4 linked regions of the Schizosaccharomyces pombe genome follow. Changing the gene in region 2 together with the main gene of any one other region gives a genetic interaction. Each region holds a gene or a part of one and is shown on either strand. Other genes may lie near its edges. The genes, in order: pfd5, rok1, set3 and ani1.

The links.
Region 1: mutations in rok1 (region 2) and pfd5 together harm fitness more than expected from each alone (negative genetic interaction), as found in Schizosaccharomyces pombe (2 studies listed by BioGRID).
Region 3: mutations in rok1 (region 2) and set3 together harm fitness more than expected from each alone (negative genetic interaction), as found in Schizosaccharomyces pombe (2 studies listed by BioGRID).
Region 4: mutations in rok1 (region 2) and ani1 together harm fitness less than expected from each alone (positive genetic interaction), as found in Schizosaccharomyces pombe (2 studies listed by BioGRID).

What each region holds. Positions count from the first base shown.
Region 1 is NC_003423.3:4,025,676-4,029,672, forward strand, and holds pfd5 (prefoldin subunit 5), read left to right. Parts: upstream 1-1,730; 5' UTR 1,731-1,742; coding exon 1,743-1,929; exon of another isoform or gene 1,930-1,983; coding exon 1,984-2,093; exon of another isoform or gene 2,094-2,136; coding exon 2,137-2,242; exon of another isoform or gene 2,243-2,307; coding exon 2,308-2,369; 3' UTR 2,370-2,441; coding exon of another isoform or gene 2,442-2,630; 3' UTR 2,631-2,671; coding exon of another isoform or gene 2,672-3,415; 3' UTR 3,416-3,468; downstream 3,469-3,997. Other genes in the region: SPOM_SPBC215.01 (GTPase-activating protein), read left to right, coding at 1-1,401; COP9/signalosome complex subunit Csn1, read right to left, coding at 2,442-2,630, 2,672-3,415, 3,490-3,764, 3,824-3,884. UniProt on the Schizosaccharomyces pombe protein: Binds specifically to cytosolic chaperonin (c-CPN) and transfers target proteins to it. Binds to nascent polypeptide chain and promotes folding in an environment in which there are many competing pathways for nonnative proteins.
Region 2 is NC_003424.3:687,748-691,640, reverse strand, and holds rok1 (ATP-dependent RNA helicase Rok1), read right to left. Parts: upstream 2,289-3,893; 5' UTR 2,159-2,288; coding exon 713-2,158; 3' UTR 519-712; downstream 1-518. Other genes in the region: atp20 (F0-ATPase subunit G), read right to left, coding at 1-111; MBF transcription factor complex subunit Res2, read right to left, coding at 2,911-3,893.
Region 3 is NC_003424.3:5,039,035-5,044,710, forward strand, and holds set3 (putative histone H3 lysine methyltransferase Set3), read right to left. Parts: upstream 3,711-5,676; 5' UTR 3,448-3,710; coding exon 868-3,447; 3' UTR 512-867; downstream 1-511. Other genes in the region: etp1 (monooxygenase-ferredoxin fusion protein), read right to left, coding at 1-69; ribosome biogenesis protein rlp24, read right to left, coding at 4,763-5,197, 5,445-5,583, 5,634-5,638. UniProt on the Schizosaccharomyces pombe protein: Transcriptional regulator that acts via the formation of large multiprotein complexes that modify and/or remodel the chromatin. Required for both gene activation and repression.
Region 4 is NC_003423.3:4,062,460-4,066,460, reverse strand, and holds ani1 (FKBP-type peptidyl-prolyl cis-trans isomerase), read right to left. Parts: upstream 1,942-4,001; 5' UTR 1,905-1,941; coding exon 819-1,904; 3' UTR 501-818; downstream 1-500. Other genes in the region: sporulation specific PIL domain protein Meu14, read right to left, coding at 1-44, 86-167; deoxycytidyl transferase Rev1, read left to right, coding at 2,303-4,001. UniProt on the Schizosaccharomyces pombe protein: PPIase that acts as a histone chaperone. Histone proline isomerase that increases the rate of cis-trans isomerization at prolines on the histone H3 N-terminal tail. Proline isomerization influences H3 methylation thereby regulating gene expression.

The sequences.
Region 1 (3,997 bases), on a different chromosome or scaffold from region 2:
TTTGTAAGCAAAGACATTCAACTTAGCATCATTTCTTTGCCGTGGTTTTTGTCGCTTTTCCTTTGCACAATGCCTTTACCGTATGCGTTTAGGTTGTTAGACTTTTTCTTTCTAGAGGGTCCAAGGGTTTTGTTTCAAATTGGAATGGCTATCCTATATGACAACGAAGCTGAAATTATGAAGGCTACAGAAGACACTATGTTGATATCAATTTTAAAAAATTATTTTTCATCATTGGGAGATAAGGCTTATAAAGATGCAACAGATAAACGCGTTGCCTCTATCACGAAGTTTCAACTTTTATTGGTAACTGCTTTCAAGAAGTTTAGCCATATAACACACTCTTTAATTGAAGATGAAAGGAAAAAACATTACGAAGGAGTTATGAATTCTATTGAGTCATTTGCAAAGAGAACACAAATTAGGAGTTTACAAAATTACGGTACATTAACACGTACGGATTTAAGTAATATTTACGACCGTTATCATGAAGTATTGTCGTCCAAACATCGAGTTGGATTAGGCAGCTCTACTGATACACGGTTGGAATTTGACGAATTTTGTATATTTTTAGCAGGAGTTACTGAATGGGCGAAAGGTTTGGATGCAGCGGCTATCAATAATTCATCATCCTTTCTTCGTCATTTGTTTTTACGATTTGACAAAAGCATGACTGGATCATTATCTTTACAGGATTTGGTGTCCGGTATTGCAGAATTGAAATTTAGGGATGTAATGCGCAATATATCTTTTATATTCGAGCTTTATGACTTTAATGGAGATGGTTTTATGGATAAACCAGACGTTTTGAAGGTTTCAGAAGCTATTCTTTGGTTAACTAGGTTTATGGGTGATGAGTATCTATCCGCAGTTAGCGAATTCATACAACGCTGCTTTCATTTTGCTGATGAAGCTAGTCCTGATGGTCATTCTGATACGTTGATTGATATAAGCGACCATATGAGCAGTACTGGTTCTGAAAACCGTTCTGTTGGTGCTAATAGTGATATCAAAGTTAGTCTTCCCACTTTTAGAATGGTTGTTTTATCAATTGGTTTATTAGAGCAATTATTTTCTGGAGGACTCGCCGACTCTATCGTTTTAGCTCCAGTCCAAGAAAAATCATCAACCACCGGAGGTTTGAGAGGTTTATTGGATTCTTTGGTAATTGATACCAATAGGATTGGTAAAACATTTCGTGGGCATAAACCCGCTTCTCGTCCAAGTACCGCAAATGGTACTAGCAATCAAAATACTACTTCTGAAATTACCACATCGGAAACTACGGCGACTGAAAAAACACCTTCAAATTCTTCAGATACCGAAGATGATGTTGGTGATGTTGTAGAAAACGATAAAGATTTGCTTCAATTTGATCCATACAAAAAAAATGATGCTTAAAAAGCTATACTTAAACTTCTAATCAATGGCACTATAATGCATCCTAACTAGTATTATTTTCCCAAATTTTGTTAATCTTCATGCTCATAATTTATTAATTATTGAAAAATCTATCATCTATATTGATATATTCTATAGCGTCCCTCTGCTCAATAACATATTCGATTCTACTTTCACTGTTTGGTATAATTCTGAATAACTGTTTAAAACAAATATTGTTTCAACCAACTAACTGATTGTATATTGAAATGGATTACCATGTACCTGTAATTTAATGCAGTGCAGCGTTGGAATTTCTACCAGTTCCTTCGTATCTTGACTGTTCTAATAGAAGCGTAATAATGGCTGAAGGTAATAAAGCGGTCGATTTGACTTCTCTCAGCTTGGAGCAATTATCAGAAGTTATAAAACAGTTAGATTCTGAGCTAGAGTATCTATCGACCTCCTATGGACAACTAGGACGTGCTCAATTGAAATTTCGTGAATGCCTGGCAAACGTTAACGATGCTGTGCGGGCTGAGAACGATGGTATAGACAAACTGAAATTTTTTTTGCATATGTTTCACTAACTATTGTCAATAGGAAAGGAGGTTTTGGTACCTTTGACTTCAAGCTTGTATGTTCCTGGAAAGCTGAATTTAGGAAACAGTAAATTGTTGGTCGATATTGGGACTGGTTATTACGTTGAAAAGGTATTTTTAATATATAAGAGATTTTTAAACCTAACGACATTAGTCCGCTGGAGAAGCTACCGAATATTATAAAAGAAAATGTGAATATCTCGCCAGCAGTATCGAGAACCTCAACAATGCCATTGACGCAAAATCAGTTCAAATTAGAGGTATGAGCATTTACAGTACAGATCAATTTTTATCTTATTATCAACAATTTGCTAATTCTCTGTAGCCGTTCAAAACATTATGCAACAAAAGGCAACAGCTACAACAGCTGCAACTAAATCTTCATAAGCTAAATAATTAATGAAATTTCAAAAAAAGTAAGTAAAGGATTAACCAATTATATGATGTGCATGCTTTTTGTTAGTTCTGTGAATCTTCCGCGGTAATGTTCGTTTGAGCGATAACTGGAGCTTCGTCGTCAGTATTTTCAGTGTTCATCGCCGCCAATGTTTGTAAGTAAAGAGCCTTGCTGTAAAGCAAACTAGTTTGCGCGATATTTTTTATGTCCTCGAAGTTTTCAGGCTCTGAAGAAGGTTCGATATAAACACGCTTATAAAGTTAGACCAATATAGCAGATTTATTATACTTACCTTTTGAAGAGAGTCCACCTTGCCATTTAATTTTTTGGCTTCGATTATTTCTAATAAATTTTTCTCAATGAAGTTCTCATCAATATGAAAATCAACTGCAATTTTGCTGAACGGCAAAGCACTGTAAGGAATTAAATAGTCAAGAAGTGAACGCTCCCGAATAAGGGAAAATAAATTTGTCAATTGAGGAGCCAGATACATGTCTAAAGAATAGTCTTGAGCATTTTGCTGTAATGTATCAAGCAAAAGACTATATTTGCGATTACATTTCGCTTGCAAACAACGTCTCAGGGAAGGGTCTAAATCTGACAAAGCATTGAACTCTTCATTTCTTTCAAGCTCTTGAATCAGACGTTTATGATCCCAGCACGCTAGTGCACAAAGTGAGATATACACTGAAATGTCAGTTTTTGTAATAATACCATCAGAGGTATCAGTTTCAACTTTTAAAAAATGAGCCAGGGCCTCTTCGTAATCACCCAAGCAAAAGTTGGCCAATCCACAGTATGCATAAATAGGACTAGTTAGCTCCATGGCTGCACTAACAGTAGACTTGGCGCGAGACCCGAAGGCTAGTACATGAGAATAATTACCAATCCAAATAGAAATTCTCATTAACTCTAAGGATAAATGAGCAATTTGTCCAGCATTTGTACAATATTCGCGAACTTTGGCATATGATCTTAAAGCACTATCAAACTGGCCCACATCAGCAAAAAAAGAAGCTAAATCTAGTTGTGCCGCCTAAAGTTGTTAGAATTGTAACAAAGGATGTAATAAAAAGTCTGTGAAGCAAAAAGTTATCTTGTAGCTCATACTCTTATAGATTCTCGTATTAAGTTGTTTTTATAGGCTTTTAGTTCCCTTCTTAATTGTTCTAGATTTTGTTTCCTATGAAAAGTAACGCTTTCAACCCATTCTACGTCCAGCTGCTCGTTTTCGAAGCAATCTTGAAACTCCTCGAATAGAGACTGGTACAACTCTAGATTATATGTCTTTTCTTTCAATTCTTTAATGGCATAATGAACACAAAAACTTCTTAACGGCTTAGAATTACGGGCGACAAACAGCGCGCGAAATATTTTGGACCATACTATGAAACTGTGAATAAAAGAATGACTTGCAAAAATGCATCAATTGAAAAACTCTTACCACCATATTCATCCAGATATCTCTTTAATTCTTCCTGATTGACTAGTAGATTTAAGCTCATAATAGAAAACTCGTAACTAGTCGGAACACTGTAGGTTATAGAATTGGCCAACTGGTTATAGGCCAGTGACGAGTACCAGATGTATAAAAGCTATAATAAGATGGTGATTTTTT
Region 2 (3,893 bases):
TAAGGGAGTGAAACGACCCTTGGCTTGTTCAGCAACTGTTTTAGTAGAGTAGTGACTCTTCCTTAAAAAATTGTAATTAATACGAGAGATAATTCGACTTGTGGAAAACATTATACTTCGAAATAGCCTGAATTGGAAAGAGATGGGATTCGGTAAGTTAAGGTTGTGATGAAGTTTCTACTCCCATATACCAATTAAGTAACACCAATTTTTCTCCGTTCATAGGTAATTTCAATGATACACAATATAAAGTAAGTTAAAACAATATAATATTTACTGAAACACACTCGTGATTTCGAAAACGAGAAATTATAAAACAGTGTCAGCAACGTAATATAGCTTTCAAATTGTAGTTAAAATAACAATTGCAAAAACCCTGTTGGGTACTTAAAATAAAATAATCTCCTTGTACCTGTTTACGCCTACATTAATTGTACTCGTGTAGATTTTTATCAGTTTTAAAAAGCCGTACAGCACTTGCTGCATTATTGTTAAACAAAAGATGTAAAGTTAGATATGTCAGGTACCACAGTAACATAAAAGTTTCTTACCACAAATAAAAGTAAAAGAAAATAATATGATTGCTAAAAAATATAAGGCTCTATTATATCAAAGCAATAGTATTTTGGAGTGAATATGACTTTTTTAAATGAACACAAAAACTAAACTAAAACCCAAAACCCTTTATATAAATACTTTCAGTAGCAACAATCTATTGTCCACTGTCTCCAGTAGCTTCATTATGCTTTTTGATAGAGGCTTCTTTTTTTACCTTCTTAATATACTCCTTCTTACGCTGTTCCTTTTGTCTGTCGTAAGAAGCTCTAGTAGTAATCCTCTTTCTTTTAGGAGGACTCTTCTTCAACTTCTTTTTCATTTCTTTACTAGGTTTAGGAAGTGCCATAACCCAGTTTGGAACCTCGCAACCTGATGAACGCATTACACCAGCAATAAGCTTGATATATTCACCATCTTCCTTTGTAAAAAAAGTAACGGCCTGTCCTGTATTTCCTGCACGCCCAGTTCGACCGATACGATGAATATAACTATGAACACTTTGAGGAAAGTCAAAGTTGATGACCATCTTTACACCATGAAAATCGATACCACGAGCAAGAAGATCTGTTGCTATTAAAACCCAAATTTCACCCTTCCGAAATTTCGCAAGTGCTTCTTCGCGCTTGGCTTGTGGTAATTCTCCATGAATGACACCAACGTGAATTTCATCAAATAAGAGTTCTGTGTACAATGCTTTCGCTCTTTCTATATCTTGAACAAATATTACGACTCGAGGCTTTAACTCTCCATTTGAAATCATTTGACGCAAAATCACAATTTTGGAAGTATCCGAACCAACAAACAAGAGTCTCTGATCGATGCTATCCGTGGCTGCATCTTTCAAACCAACGATGATTCGAATCGGATCAACCGTTACGACTTTAGCTAACTCTTCGACGCGTGATGGAATAGTAGCGGAAAAAAGGCTTTTACAAATATTAGAGCTGGTGCATGCACTTAGAATATGATCAGTTTGTTCAATAAAGCCAGGCTCAAAAAGTCTATCAGCTTCATCCATAACAAAGAATTCTACTTTTTCAAAGGACAATCCGGTTTGTATTGCTTGTACTAATCTCATCGGGGTGCCTATGCACATGTCATACTTTTCCCGGAGCTTGGGCGCTTTTTCTTGAATTTTTTCATTAGATTTACTTAATTCAATTATCTTCAATGAAGTTCCAAAAGACAGCTTTTCTGCCTGTCTATATATTTGCTCGCACAGTTCTCTAGTCGGCGCTACGATAATCGCTCTATATCCACCCGGAACATGTAACTGAAGTTTTTGCAAAATTGGGAATAGATATGCAATAGTTTTTCCAGAACCAGTTGGTGCACATGCCAATAGGTCTCGTTTAGAACCTATCGTTGGAATGGCATATCTTTGAATTGTGGTACATTCTGTTATGTTTTGTTTTTTTAAGTTTTCACAAAGTATTCCTTCCGGAAACTCTTCAATTGGATCAACAGGATTATTACCAGTAACTTTAGCTTTTCCCTTAGTAATACCTTGTAATTTTTTTGCTTCTTTTTCTTTTATAGAAGGTTGAGGTACTTTATTCTTAAATTTGACATTAGTTGTCAAAAGTTTCAACGCATCCATTTCCTTATGCAATACTTAATTATCAAAGTTAAAATATTTTAGTAGATATTTCAACGAAGGAACAAAAATAAAAGATTGTTGAAATTTTCAATTATACATATACACGACTAAAGTAAGTATGGTAGCTGCTGGGGAAAGGCTGCACTAACGTCCTCTAGTTAAACCAGTACGTTAATTCAAATTGTGTATTCCAACAGCGTTATTAAATTTATGTATGCTAAGTAAACATAATAAATGTATTCAAAAAAACGCGATTTCTGCGTTTATAGGTTACATATTTTTATATCGTATTTACGAGAAATACTGCTATAGATTTTCTTTCAATTAAATAATTGATTATTTGTATTAATCACTCTTTTACCTATTTGAACAGGACCCTCAAATTAAAGTGAAGCTCAGTAACTTGGTATCCTTTAGATGATCATTAACGTGCGAATGCAAAAAGGATGAATCATGAATGGAAGCACGCGCTGTAAATGAGATAAATCATTTTACAATAGTAGATTGTTTTAGCTGCGCATAAATAAGTAACATAATAGTTTTGTTAGGAAGGAGCAATATATGTTTTTTCCACTTGATTCCATTCGAAAATAATATATAAAATAACTCGTGTTTTTCTATCAAAGTATGATAACGTTGATAAATGCAGTTTGACAGTGAGTGTCATGGATAAAATCATTAACTATCATAACTCGTATCATTAAATAAAGAACGTAACATTAAGACAAGATGTAAATGAAAGTTTCCAAGATTCATTTTTCTCGGGTTAATGCTTCTTCCACAGCATCGAGTATTTCCAAACTCAAATCTTCAGGGTTGATGCCACAACTCATTGCAATAAGACGACGGTAACTATTAACTGTATCATCAATTCCTAGTTCTTCATACAATTTTCTAATATACAAAGTATCTTTTTTGCGGGAAGCTTGGAGAGAAGTTAACTTATTAATTAATTGCTCATATTCATCAGAATTGGTCACGTTGTTGCAAGCCGGCTTTTTAAAATCGTTATTTAACGAAAGTCCGTCTTCCTTTTTTAAAAAGTCGGAAGGAAAACTAATAGATAATGAAGTATGTGGCTTGAGGCTTCTCTCTAAATCAAAGATTTGTCGTGCTTCCAACCATATTAGTAACCTCTTCGAAAGCTGCTGGTAAGTTTCTTGGGCCTCTCGAATCAAGTTTTCCATAGATTGACTATAAGTGGGGTTATTTTTCTGCAGAAAGGTCAATTCCTGATAAGTTCTGGAAATTTCATTAAGCGTGTCTTGCTTGAGACGATTCGCTCTAATCAAATCTTCTTCTTTTTCTCGAAGCTGAGATTCATACTCCTCTGCTAATTGAGAAAATTTCGAAGATATTGAAGGAATTGCCTTAACAAAAGCATGCGATGAGCATGATGGCGAGATAATAGCAGGGCTTATTCCGGAAAATGAAAAAGCACTATGCGAAGCATTTGAGTTTGACTGTAACAATGAATGTGGCTTTTTGTCAGCTTCCAAAAGATACTCGGAAGCTGTACGTCTTTGTCGGTTAGGAATAGAAGGATTGGCGTTATAACTTAATAAAGAGTTTACACAATCCATGGCTCCATTTCGAGCAGCAATTAATAGAGAGGTATCTCCATTTGAATCTTGTAGATTTACCAATCTCACAACATTTTCAAATGGTTGAATCGATATTAGTTTCTCTAATATGCAATCCAAATAGTATTTGGCCGCTGCAACTTTTGAAGGAG
Region 3 (5,676 bases), 4.4 Mb from region 2:
GTCGCAGCCTTTCCGTAAGGGCTGAAGCAGGAACTGTCTCATCAGACCTGATGAACGTGAAATGTTCATTGGTAATTGTTTACTTTTGTTTGCGTTTCGCTTAAAAAAGTAGGTTCATGGAGAGAGAGGAATGGTACCTAACCTCCCGGTTCTATACCACAATAATCTAACGGCGCACTTTCAGAGTCGCTATAAGTAGACAAGCTATATTAACGTAGGCCGTTTGATATATACAAGATCTGAGTGGATCGTCGATGAATAGTTTAATTTGATGCGACAATTCGCTGAAATCTGCACGTAGCATATTTGAATCGATGTTTATATTTATGATACTTAATACTCAAAATGTACTAGCTTCATTTGCGTATCCAAAAAGTTATTTAATCTAGTACATGTCGCATACGGAAATAGCTGACATCTTAAATAGTTAGTTCTTATAATCTTACGAACCGAAACTTCTATATGACAAACATAAATCATTTAACTGCTATAAATTAATATTATTATATTGTACAATGTTCTAAACGTGCAAATTAGGAACAGAAAAATGCAACGACTGAGGGTTCGTTGCTCTGAATCAAAAGAAACTAAAAAAAAAAAAAGGAACTAGAGTTTTCGCCCAAACACTTAGTCATTAAATATTTACAAACGAAGAAGAAAAGAATGCAGAAGCAGGTGACAGTAAAATATGCTCCGAGTACCAATCATCATAATAAAAAAATGAAATGAAAATACATATGAAGGTAAAAAGATGCAGTCATCGTACCAACTTTAGAATCGTGAAAACTTGTTCGTATACCATATCCAATAAAAAAAATCATCCACACATTTATATGGTTTCAAGATTTACAACATCTTCTAGAATTTTTATCGCGTAAATGAAGGGTTAGAAACTGTAGCAGCAGGAACGGTGTGAGGCCTAGCTGTATCGCCATGTGCTTGATTATCCTTCGACTGTTGATGCAGAATGTTTTGTTGACGTCGTTGTCGATACTCAGAAAGAGATAGCTTCTTCGGTGCTGAGGTAGGAAGAGCAGAGGCTGAAGTGTTACTAGGCTTGACTACACTTCCTTGGACCAGATTCGAATTGGGCTTGTTTTCGCTTCTTGAAGTATTTAACGCATTCGAGATATCATCACCGTTGTTGGCTTTGTGGTCCAAAATGTTTGGATTGTTCGTAGGAAATTGGTTGTTTACCAAAGCATGGCGACTCGTTATAACTGGTGCTGGAGCTGTCGGCAAAGGAGGCGTAGTTACAGGAGATTTATCAAACGAAAACCCGACAGGACTAACCGAAGGTGAATGGGATCGAGTGCCATTCTGTCTAGAAAAGTTAACGTCAGAAGACCTTTGAGTGTCGTGAACATGCGATTTATCTTTTACAGTCCTTAACGTATTAAAAAACATGGACCCACTCTTTTCTTTACTCGACGGCTCGAGTTTCAATTTTGAATCTGAATTTCTATGGAAAGAAGGATGGACCTTATGTGGTCTGTCACCTTTAGTCTTAAAGGCTTCCGGCTTCCTTTCGATAGATAGCGATCTTTTATTATAATCAGGTTTGCCATGAAAATCATTTGCAATGCTACGGCGTCTTTTAACTGACGGCAAATGATCAACAGAACCATGCTTTTTGTGGACTGTCGTAATAGTTCCTAATCCTCTTTTGCAAGGAGAAGTTTTGTCCAGCATATCTGGGCTTGTTCGAGGATGTTGTAATGGTGAGGCTGATCGCCTACTTAGTGATTCTCCAACATTAAAAGATGGAGGAGTTGTAGGGGTTATCGAGGATTCTTCAGGTTCCTTTGCTTTTTTCAATGGACCATCGGATTGTAATGCAGCATCGGGTGAAATGGGCGATAAGACGTCTGCAATGCCCACCTTAGAATCAGTGTGTAAATCAGCAATATCAGTTTTCTTGTCCCTATTAGAGGAATCTTCCTCAACAGAGGGTAGTGGAGATTGTAAATCTTTAGTTGGTTTTTTCTCCTTCACAGATGGCTGTAACTTCGGCTCCATGACTACATCGATTCCTACACTTTCTGTGGGTAATGACTTAACAGCAGGCCATTTTTGCAAAATACTAAGACGGTACTTATCTAACCAAAACTCTTTCAAGGATTTGGCATAGACCGATGTGGGGTTTGAAGGTTGCGGTAATGATTCAGCAGGGCTAGGGGTAGAAGGGGTTGAGGAAGGTGTCAGAGACAAACGGTCTTTTGCTACACTGACACGGTTTGCAGTAGAAGCGCGGCGGGCCGCTTTAATATATTTAGTAACTCTGGAAAAAACACAGTTTTTCTTATCCTGTGAGGCACATTCGTTAAACGACAGGAAGGTAGAAAGCACTTCTGAAAGTAATTCCAACTCTTCCATATTGAAGGAGGGTCGCGACATACCAGGCGCAAACTGGCGAAATGGATGGGAAATATCGAGAGTCCAATCCCCAATAATCTCTGTTTCCGGAGCTATGTGAGTAGTTGAATAGAGGATAAATCGAGGAACACTGTTAGACCCATTCATGTAAACACTTGAAACGACGGAGTTTGACTGACAACCTTTACGCGCAAACCTCGCTTTTGAACCAGCAACCCGTGAGTCAACAACAAGCTGAGAATTTGAGTCAAAAAAGACATGTGGCTTAGGAGCCCCCAAAATATTGTACTGGTTTTTGGGATCACTTTTGTATTCATTCTGCGTACAAACCCTTCCTTTCACCTCCATAATGGGTGTATTTGGAGGAATTTCGCAAGTTGACACCAAACCAAAGCGACTACAACAAAACTTTGAAGATGATATAGGTACGACTTGGCATCCATCCATTAAAACTTCGGATTCATCTAAATTCTTTAAATCCAAATTCTTAGAATACTCAAGCGCAGATGCAGAAAAGGTGTTTGATTCCAAAGGGACGTATTCCAAGTGAAACGAATACACATATTCGTTAGAAGCCTCGGTGATTGGAGCCTCTGGTGGGTTGTTAAGGTGGTTGGATCTTCGTCTGCGATTCTGAGAATGTGGAGCATGAGCATTGGGCAATGTTGCACCAGTCACACTGTTACGATAAGACCCCGAGTTCGAAGAGTTGGTAGACTGTGAAAATAAAGCGCCATTAGCGCCTGTGTTATTGCCTTGTCTCGGTGACGCAGAGTGTGTAGGACTAGCACCATTTTTGCCAAAACTAGTTCTTCTCTTGTTGTTGGAAGAACGGGATCGCGATAATATCCTAGACTGCTCTTCTTCGCGCTGTAACCTAGCTAGTTGAATTTTATGCGCCTTGTCGGCATCGATAGGACGAGGTTGGCATTGTTCACAAAAATATTTTTCAGGAACATTATTTGCATCTATGTTTACACAAACGGCGTGTTGCCATACCTCGCAACTTTCGCATTGGATGGTGAATCCGTCATCATCCTCGAATGGACAAACGCATCGTATTTTCCACATGCTAACTTAACCAAAGAGAAAACGATCAACTTATAACAAAGTAAAGAAGTATTTCATAAACGCTAATTTCTGTACAGGAGCAATTTAACCTTGGAAATTACTGCTTTCTTATGAAAGCAAAGATTTTAGCCCCAACTATACCAATGGCTATCTCGATTATCTGAACTCTCCTAAAACTAGGAATCTAGTATATAAATACTCGAAAAACCATGTAAGTTGAACAAATACTCTGTTTTCAATTTGCATACGCGATTTTGGTAGTTGATACGACGTCGCGATTATTCCGCTCTTCAACATTTCCATCCACCGAGTGTAAACACACGTCCCATAAACCACGTTTCCGCAGTCTAACGTCTCCTCGGTAAAAACAAAGAGAAGAAGATGTTGAAGAATAGTTCATTTCTCTATGAAACTTCTCATTTTACATATTTTAGAAGGTAATAAAACTGTCAAGGAGTTTTTAATGAGTCTTGCTAAGAAACCATTTTGAAAAAAAAAAATCATCTACTAAGACAATGAGTTGAGATAAACGGCAGGTGCAATGTGTCAGTAGTTAGCTAATGTATGGTGTTAGTGAGTGTGCGCAAGCAATCGAAAACGTCAATAACGGACTCGCAACTCTAAAGAATTAACAACCTTTAGCATTGGACTGTAGGGTTTAAACAGCTTTACAAGGAGAGGGATCTGTTTTCATGAGTTCCACAGTGATATGAGACTTGAATAGGCTTGTCAACTATAGAGAAATGTATATGCAAGGAAACCAGCATAAATGACAAAGTCTTTACTGTTTTATGACTTACTAAATATACCTCATGGAGAATTGAATCCAAATAATGAAGCAATGTTCTATCGTTCTAGTAGAATTTTACATTTCGAAGAGGCATTTGTGATAAACGAAACTAATAATATAAACCAATTTATTCCTAAACAACCATTTTTCAAACTGTTAGACTGTTGTATCTTGTACAAGCTCCAAACTGAAGATAGGTTCGTTTACAAGTATGTATACACGAAAATCCATTATTAACCATATTAATCTGCACGTAGCATGCAAGTCCAAAGAAGTAACCAAACGAGAAGAGAAGCCGAAACCAAATGCCAACTTTAGATATGCAAGATAAATTTTAAAAAACACGTTTTCGAAGTGTCTAAAGAGTTCGAAAGTGTAAGAAAACCACTCCCCAAAAATGTCTTCTCTTCTACTATTTTGTAAATTTGAAAGGAATAAAACAATAAAATAAAATAAAATAAAAGAACGAAGCGGGACGCAACCAACGGAAGATCGAGAGTTACATTTTTGTAGGAAGAAGAGTGTTTAGTCCATTTGCATGGCTGAAGATGAGTTTCGAGATTTCTTGTTTTTGCGTTTTTTGGCGAGGACGGGAATCTTGACAGGTTCTGCAACTTCTTCTTCCATGGTATACTCCTCGTCGGAAACAATTTGGGGTTCTTGTACCTCAGCAGTTTCAACCTCACCTTCGGGTTCGGTAAATTGAGGAACATTTTGAGCAATGAGTTTTTGAGCTTCTTGAAGCTCTTGGGCACGTTTGCCAGCCAATCTCTTTTTGTAAAACAGACGCTCTCTCTTGGCATGAACTTGGCTAACCCGTTTCATGGCATTCAAAGTAGTTGCAATGACATTACGGTCGTAACGAACAGGAACATTTCTACGAGCTGCGGTAACTGCGAGAGCTGTGTCATAAACCATTTCCTTTCCATGTGCCTTACGGTACGCTTTGGTCCAAGCAACCTAGACATTGAAGTTAGTATACATACATATAGGTGGAAGCAAAACATTTAAAAAAACAATAGAAAACTTTCTTCGTTCATGGGCATATAAAGGAAAAAGTACACCATTTAAGGTAGAATTTGAAGAAGAAAAGTATCATTTCAAAACAAGGCAACAGAAAAAAATTTTTCCTCTTTCAAAATCAATCATCTTCCTCAACCAAGTCTGTATAACGTTTTTGCATTCCTTTATTATAAAAAAAACATACCTTACGAGGATTGCGCTTCATTTTGAAGTTCTTATGGCACTTGCTGCGACAGAAACGAAAGACCTTGGAGTCATTTCTAACAAACATTATTCCATGTCCTGGGTAAACAGGACCCGAGCAGAAATAGCAAGTATGTACCCTAAATTTCCGTTAGTAATAAATACTTTGAAGGCATTTAGCTCTACAAACCTCATATTCCCCCTAAATTCTTTCCCGTCCTTGTATGTTCAAG
Region 4 (4,001 bases), on a different chromosome or scaffold from region 2:
GTCATCTGCATGAGATAGTTCTTTTAACTTGCTGATCGAAAATTCTATGTCATTAACTTATTTATCACACCAATTTATATCTTACTATTTTTATTTAAACCCTTCACGAGACCGTTTTCTCTTAAAGAGCCTTTTCTCTGCATTTTCAAGTTGCTTGATTTGGGCATGTTGATTGTTTACGTTTCAGAAAAATATATGCCCGCCTTAAGATTTGCCTGTAAACAGAAGCACAATTTTCAAATAAACAATATAGAAAAAAGACAAATAATAAAAATAATTCTTTAAATTCTAAAACTGCTTGTTTTTTTTTAAGTTGATTATTACGATAATTAATTTTAAGAATTTCGTAAACAAACAGCTGTTTGTAGACTTATTTAGCGATAATCAGATAATGGCTCTTTTATTATCAATATGTTTTTTTTTACTTTTAATAGAGTTTTTCGGAATGTTCTCGTTTATATTTACTCAAACTCAAAATTCCATAATTTAAACATCCTTAACTAGTATCGATCAAGGAAGCGCTATTCTCTTTTCTCTTAATGCTCATACACATACAAACAGCTCTTTCTAAAAAATTGTATATTGATTATATCTCCTTTATCACCCAACAATCCAAATCATCCAAAAGTCCTATATCCAAAGTGTTTGTAACACTTAACTAAAAAAAAATTTCCTAACTCAAATACAAAATGATACCCTGATTTTTTTTGAAACCTAAGAAAAAGATAGGCGATAAAAAGAGTTAATAGAATACATAGTTTAATCCGCGATCTTCTTAAACACGGGAGTTAAAGTATGTTCATCTTCAACATGAAAATTTAGTGAACGCGAACAAGCTTGACTTCAAAAACTAAGGTAGAATTCTTGGGAATTCCTGGAATGCTCTGGTTGCCGTAAGCCATGGGAGCAGGAATTGTAATCTTACGCTCACCGCCTTCTTGCATTCCAGCAACGCCGACGTCCCACCCGCGAATAACCTCACCACGACCAAGGATAAAAGCAAAGGGTTTACCTTTAGTGTTTTTGTCAAAAACCTTTCCATTTTCGAGCTTCCCAATATATCTCATTTCAACTTTTTTCCCATTGGTAGCAGACGCACCGCTCCCAGTTTTAACATCAGTTACAACCACGCCTCCTTTTAAAGTACGAGTCTTGGGACTAGAAGGTGCATTAGAAGAAGCTTGTTGCTTTTCTTTCTTAGCAGCGGGACCAGTAGGTCCTTGTTCAAGTTTTTCGGCAAATGCAACCTTCTTTTCCTTAACAGGGGTACCCTCAACCTTTTGCTTCTTGGTATTGTTTTTCTTAGGAGAAGCAGCCTCTTCTTGCTCGGATTCATCCTTAGTACGTTTTTTTTTAACCTGTGCCTTTTTAGCAGGAGCTGAATCCAATTCATCCTCCTCAGATGCTGAATTATCTTCCGACTCAGATTCCTCTTCACTTTCCTCATCACCGCTGACAGTCTCGACAAGATCCTCCTCAGTAGGAGACAAATCGTAATCCTCGTCAGATTCTTCCTCTTCCTCATCTTCTTCGTCAACCAAAAAGTTACCAGACAAGTGGATGGTTGCATCGCCAGATGCACTGAAGAAGACTTCGTCGCCAGGAGTAATGGTCAAATTTAAAGGCTGTTGGTATAAGGAACCAGGCTTCAAAGTACATAAAACAAATTCACGCTGGCTTTCTTCCAGAAGCTCTTGCATTTGTTCGTCAAGTTCTTCGTCATCTTCATCTTCAACGGGGATACGGGGACGAACCTTCACCAATAAAGTAGTTGGTTTATTAGACTTTTCGCCGGCATCAATGGATGCCATAGTCAAATGAATAGATGCATCTGTAGATTCCTCCACAGCGGGAACATCTTTTCCCTTTACCGAAAGACTATAAACAGCAATTGGAAGAGACATGACTTATTCTTGCCTAAGAGGTGAGGTGGTAGAGGATGTAAAAAATTTTGATACATAAACCGTTGTGTATTCCATTAAGTAAGGGTAGTGCGTATTACCGCGATTTGCAAATTATACTCAAAATTAATTAAATTTGGACGAGCGTGCATCACAACAAACGCGTAGTAATTATTTTTGATATTTCGTTGTTTTTTACTTTGAAATAGTTTGGCTTCACGAGTTTTGGGATAAGGTTAAATAATGAAAGAAAAAAGCTCTTGCAGTTAGTTTTTCTTTATAAACATTGTTTGTTTATTAATTACACTTTTTCCGCTTAAGTGGCTACATTATTATTTGTATTATTTTCCTTTCAGAAACATATTAATACTTATATTTACTGAAAGTGAGAAGCGCGCTGGATGGCTTTTAATCAAAGGAAGCGTCGACGCCCAGTAGGGATTGCAGACTTTGACGAAGCAAACGATGAGGCATACGAAAGTGTTGGGTTCCACGACTATGCAGATTATTTTTCCCGGAAACAAAGAAAGCTTCAAAATCAAAATGCCGCTCTATACAAAAGTATTGATGAAGATTCTAAATCTGATCTCTTTCATGGACTTGCAATAGCGATTAATGGATATACAAAGCCGTCTTATACCGAATTACGGCAAATGATAGTTTCAAATGGAGGTACTTTTATACAATATGTTGATGGAAAAACAAGCATATCATATTTGGTGTGTTCATTTCTCACTCCTTCCAAAGCTCGCCAATGGAAGCATCAGAAAGTGGTTAAACCAGAATGGATAGTGGATTGCATCAAACAGAAGAAAATTCTTCCGTGGATAAATTATCGTACCTTTCAAGCTTCATCGGCTCAAGCTACCCTTTCTTTTGTCGCCTCTAAACCTAGCCAACCCGAAGGTAACTTAGAAGATATTCAAACAAGCTCGCAGGAAGAAGAACATGATAATGAAAAAGATAAAACAAAAGAGAGTAAAGCAAAGGGATTTTTAGATGATTTGAGTGGATTATCAGCGTCTTCACTGCACAACTATCAATTGTTAAAAAATCCCAATGTCCGAAATTCAACCACTCAAAATCAAGATTTTCTTGAGAATTTCTTTAGCTCCTCTCGTTTACATCACTTAAGTACTTGGAAAGCTGATTTTAAAAATGAAATCCAAGCAATGACTACTGCTTCTGAACCTGTTCGTCCAATTATGAAAGATAAATCAAAAAAATCTCGTTTCCTTCTTCATGTTGATTTTGATTGCTTTTTTGCTTCCGTTTCAACACGCTTTTCTCATGAGCTACGACTGAAGCCCGTTGCTGTTGCTCATGGTATAAAAAATTCCGAAATAGCTAGTTGTAATTATGAGGCTCGGAAGTTTGGCATAAAAAATGGTATGTACGTTGGAACAGCTAAAAACCTGTGTCCTTCATTACGGGTTGTTGATTATGATTTTGGAGCATACGAATCTGTTTCTAGAGAATTTTACACTATCCTTGTTAATACACTTCACGACTATATTAAGGTTATAAGTATAGACGAGGCTCTTCTAGATATAACTTCTAGTGTTTCATCTTTTCAAGATTGCTTTGAGATTGCCGAGTCTATCCGCTCGCAGGTTCGCGAGAAAACCAATTGCGAAGTTAGCGTTGGTATTGGCCCAAATGTTCTCTTAGCAAGACTTGCACTTAGGAAGGCGAAGCCTCACAACGTTTATTCTTTGTCAATAGAAAATGTTTTTGATGTATTGAGTCCTTTGTCTGTTCAAGATTTACCAGGGGTGGGCTCTTCACAAGCGCAGAAACTTTTTAATTTGTACGGTGTGCGTACTATTGGGCAGCTGCAAAGAATTGAAAAATTCAATCTTCAAGAGACTTTTGGGGTAAATTACGGTCTGCATTTATACAATATTTCCAGAGGAATTGATACCGATATAATCAATAATGAAACCCCACGGAGGTCCATATCCGTAGATGTTAATTGGGGTGTTCGTTTCGTTTTTCAAGAGGATGGGATAGATTTCTTAAAACGGTTGCTTCATGAGTTGCTTTCCAGAATGGGTAAATGCCAAGTGCTTTTGCATCAAATTCAGCTTCGGATTTTGA